Macaca mulatta: one gene and its partner. The protein of the gene in region 1 binds, or shares a complex with, the protein of each later gene. Links are inferred from orthologs where the notes say so. Each region holds a gene or a part of one and is shown in the gene's direction. Other genes may lie near its edges.

Region 1 (4,095 bases):
GAGATAATGAAGAGGGGGTAGCTAAAAGCCCCTTCAGGCTATGCCTTATCACAAATGTGTGGGAAATGTTAATATTTTCCAGGATCCCCAGTGGGTATGAGGAACTGTTTAACACACTGTTTTATTTAAAAGGAAAGTTTTTAGTTTTATTTGCCTATTAATTCTAAGGCAGGGATGACTCTTCAATTTGCTTCTTCACCAATATAAAAAATGTCCATGTATTGGTGTTTACTTTTTAAAAGTAAGGCTGGTATTAATTTACTGCAAAGCACAGATGAGTTTACAAATAAGCAGTTATGCTTTCGTGGGATTTTCCATAAACATAAAAAATTGTACTTGAAAAAAATTATATGACAAGTCTCTACCTCACACTCCAAAAAGTTACCTTTCAATTATATACTCTCCCTTACACTACTCGCCACATATCAACGTTTGATTAACCACTTCATTAACATAACTTTGGACTAGTTTAAAGTAGTGAGGGATAACTTTTTACTTTGAACACTGAAGGCTGCTAACTTTCCACTTTAGCAATTTAGCTAGTCAGGTTTTATCTGTTCTGGAACAAGTAGATGCACTTACCTATTGTGAGGTCGTGGACAGGCTGGAACCGCTTATCTGTAAACTGCAGGAGGAGACATGACTTCCCCACACCTGAAAGAGAAAACACGCTCCCAGAGTCACGTAGCGTTGGAACACTACCCGGACTCTGGACTTCCCGGACCAGAGAAGCGGGGGGTCCCCGAGCCCCGCCCCTGGCCGCCCCGAACCGCCCCGCCCGTCTCGAATCGCCCAGCCCACAAAGTGAGCCCCGCCCCCGCCACCCAATTTGGGAGCTTCGGACGTCCGCCCCAGCCTTGAAGGCGAACAACCTGAGGGTTACCTGTGTCTCCGATGATGATATACTTGAAGAGATAAGCATAAGTCATGATGTCGCGTCCTCTGGGTTCCGGGTCCGCCCGACTTCTACAGCCACTTACCTCCAACCTCTCTAGCCACTCAATCTACCGATCTTCTTCTTCCCGGCCGCCCACCCTCTCCGGCTCCTCTAGCCCAGATCACGTCTCTATTGCTCTCCCCAGAAATCCTCCTTAGGTCGGGAGTACCCAACGCCACCTCCAGGGATACCTCTAGTACTTCTACATGCCATTATCCCTCCAAGCTCCAGGGGGCGATAGGCCACCGCCTGACTCGCTGCAGCCCCCACGGCGCTCCTTCCAATGAGCAGAGAGTAACGCACGTCCTTGCGGAAGTGACGGCAGTTCCGAGACCAGTGGGGGCGGTGGGAGCGATGAGGGTCTGAGACGGTGGGAGCGGTTGTGTGAAGATGGAGGTAGGAACCTGATAGCTAAGAAGGCTGGCGAGAGAACGCGGCCGACCGGGTTGAAGCAGAGACGGGAAGCCGGGTGGAGAGGCGACTGACGGGAGAGGAGAGAGCGCGGGGTTTGGGGAGTGTTGTCAGAATGTCGGGGTCAGAAGCCATCGCTCCAAGCTAATTCCCTGCTCCCCCTAACTTATCCCCGCGGCTTTCTTTTGGTTTCCAGTTTCCCGGAGGAAATGACAATTACCTGACTATCACAGGGCCTTCGCACCCCTTCCTGTCAGGGGCCGAGGTGAGCACGAGCTGCCGACGCCGCGGGGGGAGGGCCTGAGGCCGCGGTGGGGTAGGGTGGTGGGGAGGAGAGCACGCACTCCAGGGACGGGGGCTGGGAACCAAGGGCTGCAATTGGTGTTTAGAGAAAAGTGGCAGCTGCTTCTAGAGCCTATGGGGACTATCTGGGGAAGTCTTGGGAAGTTGCTGTCATCAGAAAAGCAAGCTATTGGAAAGAGATAACCTATTTAAAGAGAAAAGTGATTCTGGATTAGAAGACAGTGAAATTGTCTCCTTTTTCTGGGGAGAAATAACTACAGTAATCTTAAAGGATCGCAGTGGGAAGAAAATTTTTCAGCAGCTGAAGAAACTGGGGTGAGGGGAGGAGCTTACCTAGCAGAGGGTTGACCGTGGAACAGCATGTGTTCATTCCTGTAACGAACTCTGTTGAAGGGGTCTTTTTAAATTTGTTTCATTTATATTTCCTACTGGTTTTGTTTTGTTTTGAGACAGAGTCTCGCTTTGTCGCCCAGGCTGGAGTGCAGTGGTGCGATGTCGGCTCACTGCAACCTCCGCCTCCCGGGTTCAAGCGATTCTTCTGCCTCAGCCTCCCGAGTAGCTGGGATTACAGGCGTGTGCCACCATGCCCGGCTAATTTTGTATCTTTAGTAGAGATATAGTTTCACCATATTGGCCAGGCTGGTCTCAAACTCCTGACCTCAGGTGATCCACCCACGTCGGCCTCCCAAAGTGCTGGAATTACAGGCCTGAGCCACTGCGCCTGGCCTAAATTTACTACTTTAATAAAAAGTTTGTGGTTACCTTTACCTACACAGTGTCGGCTTGTTTTGCTAATGCCAGGAAGAAAGGAAATAGCTGCTAGAGAACATAAAAAGAGTTGAGTAGGATATGTGTTTCAGTTTTTCTGTGACTCAGACGTTGGGCACATTACTTCATCGTTGTATGTCATAGTTTCCCCAACTGTCAAACAGCTGTAATAATAGCTTCTTATGCTGTTTTATAGTAGAAGTAAAGGTTGTGATGAAACCCTAAAGTATTTGTTAAAAAAATCTGGTTGAGCCGGGCGCGGTGGCTCATGCCTGTAATCCCAGCACTTTGGGAGGCCGAGGCAGGTGGATCACCTGAGGTCGGGAGTTCAAGACCAGCCTGACCAACATGGAGAAACCGCGTCTCTACTAAAAATACAAAATTAGCCGGGGTGGTGGCGCATGCCTGTAATCCCAGCTACTCGGGAGGCTGAGGCAGGAGAATCGCTTGATCCCGGGAGGCGGAGGTTGTGGTGAGCCGAGATCGCGCCATTGCACTCCAGCCTGGGCAAAAAGAGGGAAACTTTGTCTCAAAAAAAAAAAAAAAAAAAAAAATTCTGGTTGAAATATTGTCATAATATAGATACGTATCACTTGTTTAGGAGAAGCAAAAGAGAACGGTGGAACAGACAAAAATTTCTGTCTTTGAGAAACTGAAGTCTTGAACCACGTGCCATTTTTTGAGGACTTTTAAATTTATTTTCAAAAGTGGTGTGGACCATTTGCATCAGTTTTTTGTACCAAGAATTGTCAGTGGCTGTCGCATGCGCTTATCCTATAATCCTAACGTTTTCATGGATGAAAATGGGGTTGACAAGGGGTAGTTGCTAGTTTAACTTTTTTTTCTTTTTTTGTCGGGGGGAGGTGACAGTCTCCCTGTAGCCCAGGCTGCAGTGCCGTGGCACGATCTTGGCTCACTGCAGCCTCCACCTCCTGGGCTGAAGTGATTCTTCTGCCTCAGCCTCCCAAGTAGCTGGGAGTACAGGTGTGCGCCACCACACCCAGCTAATTTTTTTTCTTTTTTCTTTTTCTTTTTGTATTTTAGTAGAGACAGGGTTTCATCATGTTGCCCAGGCTGGTCTTGAACTCCTGGCCTCAAGTGATCTGTCCACCTCAGCCTCCCAAAGTGCTAGGATTATAGGCATAAGCCACCATGCCCGGCGCCAGTTTAACTTTTTTGTTGCTTTATTAGTCTTATAAGCAGGGTAAGTGTGAATCTAGTATGTGGCAAACTTAGAAATGATATAAAACCTAAATCTGGACCCAGCACAGTGGCTCATGCCACTAATCCGAACTGTTTGGGAGGCTGAGGTGGGAGAATTGCTTGAGCCCAAGAGTTCTAGACCAGGTTGGGCAACGTGATCAAACTCCGTCTCTATAAAAAATAGTAATAATTAATTTAAAAAAAACAGCTGAGGCCGGGCGTGGTGGCTCATGCCTGTAATCCCAGCACTTTGGGAGGCCAAGGTGGGCGGATCACGAGGTCAGGAGTTCAAGACCAGCCTGACCAACATGTGAAACCCCATCTCTACCAAAAATACAAAAATCAGCCAGGCGTGGTGGTGCGCACCTGTAATCCCAGCTACTCAGGGGACTGAGGCAGGAGAATCACTTGAACCCGGGAAGCAGAGTTTGCAGTGAGCCAGGATCGCACCATTGTACTCCAGCTTGGGTGAA
Region 2 (4,296 bases), on another chromosome or scaffold:
GTTGGGATACAGCCTCTAAGTTCTTTCTAGAAAGACCCCAGCTGTCCCAGGGTTTCCATTTTTTTACCATTGCACAGGTCTCTGGATATCACACCTTCCTAATAGCGACTGAAATGTCTCATAGCCTTTCCTTGTTTTTGTTTCTCTTTAGCTAAAGAAAGCAAAAATAAATAATCCCCATCTCCACTGTTGGAAACCCCAGGCTTTTTAACCTTTGGAGGAGCTTCACACAAGATAGAGATCTGTGAAGCTACATAGGTTGGCACTGAGTTTAACCCTTTGCCCATAAAGTTAAGGTTAGGAAGCTTGGTTCCTATTTTCTGTTCAAATACTGTTTTCCTTTGTTAGAGATAAACTTCTTTTAAGGCAAAGAATCACTTATATGATAGAACCTTTAGAATAATCCTGTTGACTACAAACAGGATAGTGCAACTCTTCCATATTTTGAATGTGGTGGTGATTGCATGACTGTGTTATGGGTGTTAGAACACTAGCCACTAAAAAGGCTAATTTTTGGAGGGAGACCGTCTGTTCTGTCGCCCAGGCTGGAATGCAGTGGCACGATTTCGGCTCACTGCAGCCTCTCCCTTTCTCAATTCTCGTGCCTCAGCCGCGCCATCATGCCCGGCTAATTTTTTGTATTTTAGAAGAGATGGGGTTTTGTCATGTTGGCCAGGCTGGTCTCAAACTCCTGAGCTCAAGCGATCATCCTGCCTCGGCCTCCCAAAGAGGTGGGTTGGAAAGGCGTGAGCCACCGCGCCCGGCCCAAGGCGGCTGATTTTTACTGTACCTAAAGTCTACCTCGATTAAGAACACCAGGCCGGGTGCGGGTGGCGGGCGGACTGCCTGAGGTCAGGAGTTCGAGACCAGCCTGGCCAACATGGTGAAACCCCGTCTCTTCTAAAAATACAAAATTAGCAGGCGTGGTGGCGCGCGCCTGTAATCCCAGTTGCACGGGAGGCTGAGGCAGGAGAATCCCTTGAACCCGGGAGGCGGAGGTTGTGGTGAGCCGAGATAGCGCAACTGAGCGACAAAGCGAGAGACTCCATCTCAAAAAAAAAAAAAAAAAAAGAGGTCGAAGCTGTCTAAGCGGGCGCTGCGGTGGACTAGCGGTCAAGCCTGCCCGCGAGCGGCTCACCTGATTCGCCCCCAAAACCGGCCTCCAGCGGCGTACTCGACCCTGCAGTACCCCCTCCCACGCGGCTTGTGGTCGGGAAGCCTGCAGGAGGCGCCAGAGCCTTCGCAGGGGTTGCAGTCTAGCGCAAGGGCCCTCAGCTCCCAAGGCACCCGCAACCTTCCGACCCCCGGAGAAGGCCCCGCGCGTCTGAGCCCCTCCCTGCCAGCGGCCAGCCCTGCCACTACACTCAGCCGCGGCCGCGCTGACGTCACCACCCCCACTCCCGGCCTCGCGAGGCCGTTCCCGCCCCGCCCCCTTTCCCGGCGTGCGCCGCGGCTAAGGCTCCTCGCCCTCAGCTTCTGCCTGTCGCCCCAAAATGGCGGACACAATGAGCCGGCTACGCGCCGGTTGTCCGTGAGGTGGCTGTGAAGACGAACAGACGGCGAGGCTCCGCAGTTCAGGCAGAAGACCCTCGTCCAAGCAGGAGGAAGAGGAGGAGGCGGCCCAACTGTTGGCCGACTTCCCTCTAGCCGCCGGCGCGGCGCCCGCCCCGCCTGGGTTGGCCCCTCGGCAGCCCGCCCGTTCGCCGCCGGGCCCCGCCCCGGTCCTGCGCCGCCGCTGCCTTCCTCAGCCGCCGCCATGAAGCTGACCGATAGCGTGCTGCGGAGCTTCCGCGTCGCTAAGGTGTTCCGCGAAAACTCGGACAAGATTAACTGCTTCGATTTCAGCCCCAACGGCGAGACGGTCATCTCGAGTAGCGACGACGACTCCATCGTGCTCTATGACTGCCAGGAGGGCAAGTGAGTGCGGCGGAGGCCCTGGGCCCAAGTCTCAGTGCCTCCCTCCCTCCGGTGGCCCAGCACTGGTCCCTCGGCCCGCCCTCCGTCCCAACTTCAGCCCCCGGCCTATTTTGCACGCGTTCCTGCCAGGGCCGCCTCCACCCCGCAGCAGTCCAGGAGACCTTTTATTTTTTCTTATTAAAAAAAATTACGATAGTCATAATTTTATAATAGCATTCTTATTTGTATGTTTTCGGTCTCCTTTGAGCGCTATGCATCGCTTGCCAAACCCCACCTTGACCTTGACCTTTAAACGCCCGGTCCGCCCACCGTGGGCCCAGCAGGTAGCGTTTTCAGCTTCTCAGGCTGTCAGAGGTGCTGGTCTGCTCCGGCCTCGACGCAGGACTGCAGGGGCTGCTCTCCTGCCTCCTTCGGCAGCGTCAGCTCGCTCTTCTGCCCTCTCCGCTGTGACCTCGATTCTGCCCTGGCACTCCGCCCATCCCCTGCCCCTCAGCTTCCCGCGGCCTTTCTGCCGTCAGACAGCGTGGGTTGCAGTTCTTAGCTGTCAGGATTTATTTGTTGTGCCTCTTTGAGCCCCCTTGCTTTTTCTTCGTGCTCGTAGCCTTTCTCTTATTCTTTCAAACTCGGTGCCCACGTTCATAAGTGAACTTTTCAGCAACATCTAAAACTTCTTTTTGCCACACACAAACGAACTTGGTCTTCCCATCCTGACCTGAATGTGAGCTTCCGTTAAAACAAAGCAAGCATCGTAGAACAATTTCAGGTTTCCTTTCATACTTTTTTTTTCTATTACACTTTTTGGTCCACTTTGAATTCCAGTTCTGATCATGAAACTTTTATGTTGCCACAAGTCATCTGGAGACCCACCATACCTGCATCTTTTCGCAAAATCTAAGCACAGCACTTTGACTTTTCCCCTGGGGGTCCTTGTCAGCCCCCTCACCGCACGCCTGTGGACTTGCAGCTCCTTGGAGCCAAAACTAGTTTAGATTAAATTTGTTTTACCCTTGCCACCTTCCCCAAGAAGGCTTGCTGATGTTTGGTTTAATTCGGTGACCTCTGGTTTTGTCAGACTTGATTTTGTTACCTAGTAACAGATACTATTATTATTATTGTGAGGTCTTGGGTTTTTTCCTACCTTCTCCAGCTGTTCCTTTTGCCTTTTTTTTTTTTTTTTTTTTTAAACTGGTGTCTTTCTTTTGGAACGTATCTCTTCATTTGTGAATTTGATTATCTGAAATAATGCTAGTTTGGACTGAGCTATAATGGTATCCCCCCTAATTTTTTTCCCACTGGGACTGTGAGAAATTATTACGTAACCGGCTCTGGATCTGCCTGCAGTATGTGGCAGAGTGGTCTGCAGTGGTGGTCTTAAGGAAGAGGGAATTGTTAGCTGAACAAATACTTAGTTATTTGAGTCAGTGTTACTCCTTGAGTAGATAGATTTCTGTCCTGGTCTGGTCACTTGAATCAGTTTAGAAGAGGAAGTAACACTTAAAGGTGTGGTAGTAGGGTCGGCATTGTGGGGTCCTGGAGGAGTAATTTGAAGCTGGCTTGCATGAAATGTTTAGTGCTTTTGCACAGATTAGAACCTCTTCCCAGAACCTCAGGATGGAGATATATATCCTCATTTAAAGAAAATGAAGGTTGTGATAGCCTTTCTTTGCAGTTTGTCCCCAAATTTGGCATAATTTTGATTTGGGAAGGATGACCTTGACGTGAAGTCCTGTCTTTTTTTTTTTTCCTTGTGTTTTTGGGACAGAGTCTCCCTCTGTTGCCCAGGCTGGAGTGCAATGGCATGATCTTGGATCACTGCAACCTCTGCCTCCCGGGTTAAAGCGATTCTCCTGCCTCAGCTTCACAAGTAGCTGGGATTACAGGCGCCTGCCACCATGCCCTGCTAATTTTTGTATTTTTAGTAGAGACGGGTTTCACCATGTTGACCAGGCAGGTCTTGAACTCCTGACCTCAAGTGATCCACCCGCCTCGGCCTCCCAGAGTGCTAGGATTACAGGCATGACGTGCTGCGCCTGGCCAAATCCTGTCTTGTTAAAAGTAAAATGCTAGTTTTGTGACATAAGGCAGTTTATTCACTCACATAGCATTTTTTACATAACTGCAAATGAACAGAAAGTTACAACAATGTTTCAGATAACTCCCATATGATTCAGTAACTGGTTACATTTTCTGCATTTGCTTCACTGTAGGTAAATATTTATATGTACTGTGTGCCTCCCCCCACCCTTAGAGTTGGAGGTATCAAGCCCTTTTATCTCTAAACACTTCAACATGGACTTTCTTTCATCTTTCTTTTTCTTTCCTTTTTTTTTTTTTTTTTTTTTTTTTTGAGATAGAGTCTCGCTTGGCCGCCCAGGCTGG

The links. The genes of interacting proteins can lie anywhere in the genome.
Region 2: TOX4 (region 1) and WDR82 share a complex: the UniProt entries of both Homo sapiens proteins name them as parts of the PNUTS-PP1 phosphatase complex. The link is inferred for Macaca mulatta from reciprocal best matches to the Homo sapiens genes TOX4 and WDR82.

What each region holds. Positions count from the first base shown.
Region 1 is NC_133412.1:94,338,052-94,342,146, forward strand, and holds the start of TOX4 (TOX high mobility group box family member 4), read left to right. Parts: upstream 1-1,288; 5' UTR 1,289-1,327; coding exon 1,328-1,333; intron 1,334-1,544; coding exon 1,545-1,613; intron 1,614-4,095. Other genes in the region: RAB2B (ras-related protein Rab-2B), read right to left, coding at 583-654, 884-929. UniProt on the Homo sapiens protein: Transcription factor that modulates cell fate reprogramming from the somatic state to the pluripotent and neuronal fate. In liver, controls the expression of hormone-regulated gluconeogenic genes such as G6PC1 and PCK1.
Region 2 is NC_133407.1:115,807,041-115,811,336, reverse strand, and holds the start of WDR82 (WD repeat-containing protein 82), read left to right. Parts: upstream 1-1,488; 5' UTR 1,489-1,518; coding exon of another isoform or gene 1,519-1,756; coding exon 1,757-1,917; intron 1,918-4,296. Other genes in the region: uncharacterized protein LOC106996905, read right to left, coding at 1,139-1,453, 1,519-1,758. UniProt on the Homo sapiens protein: Regulatory component of the SET1/COMPASS complex implicated in the tethering of this complex to transcriptional start sites of active genes.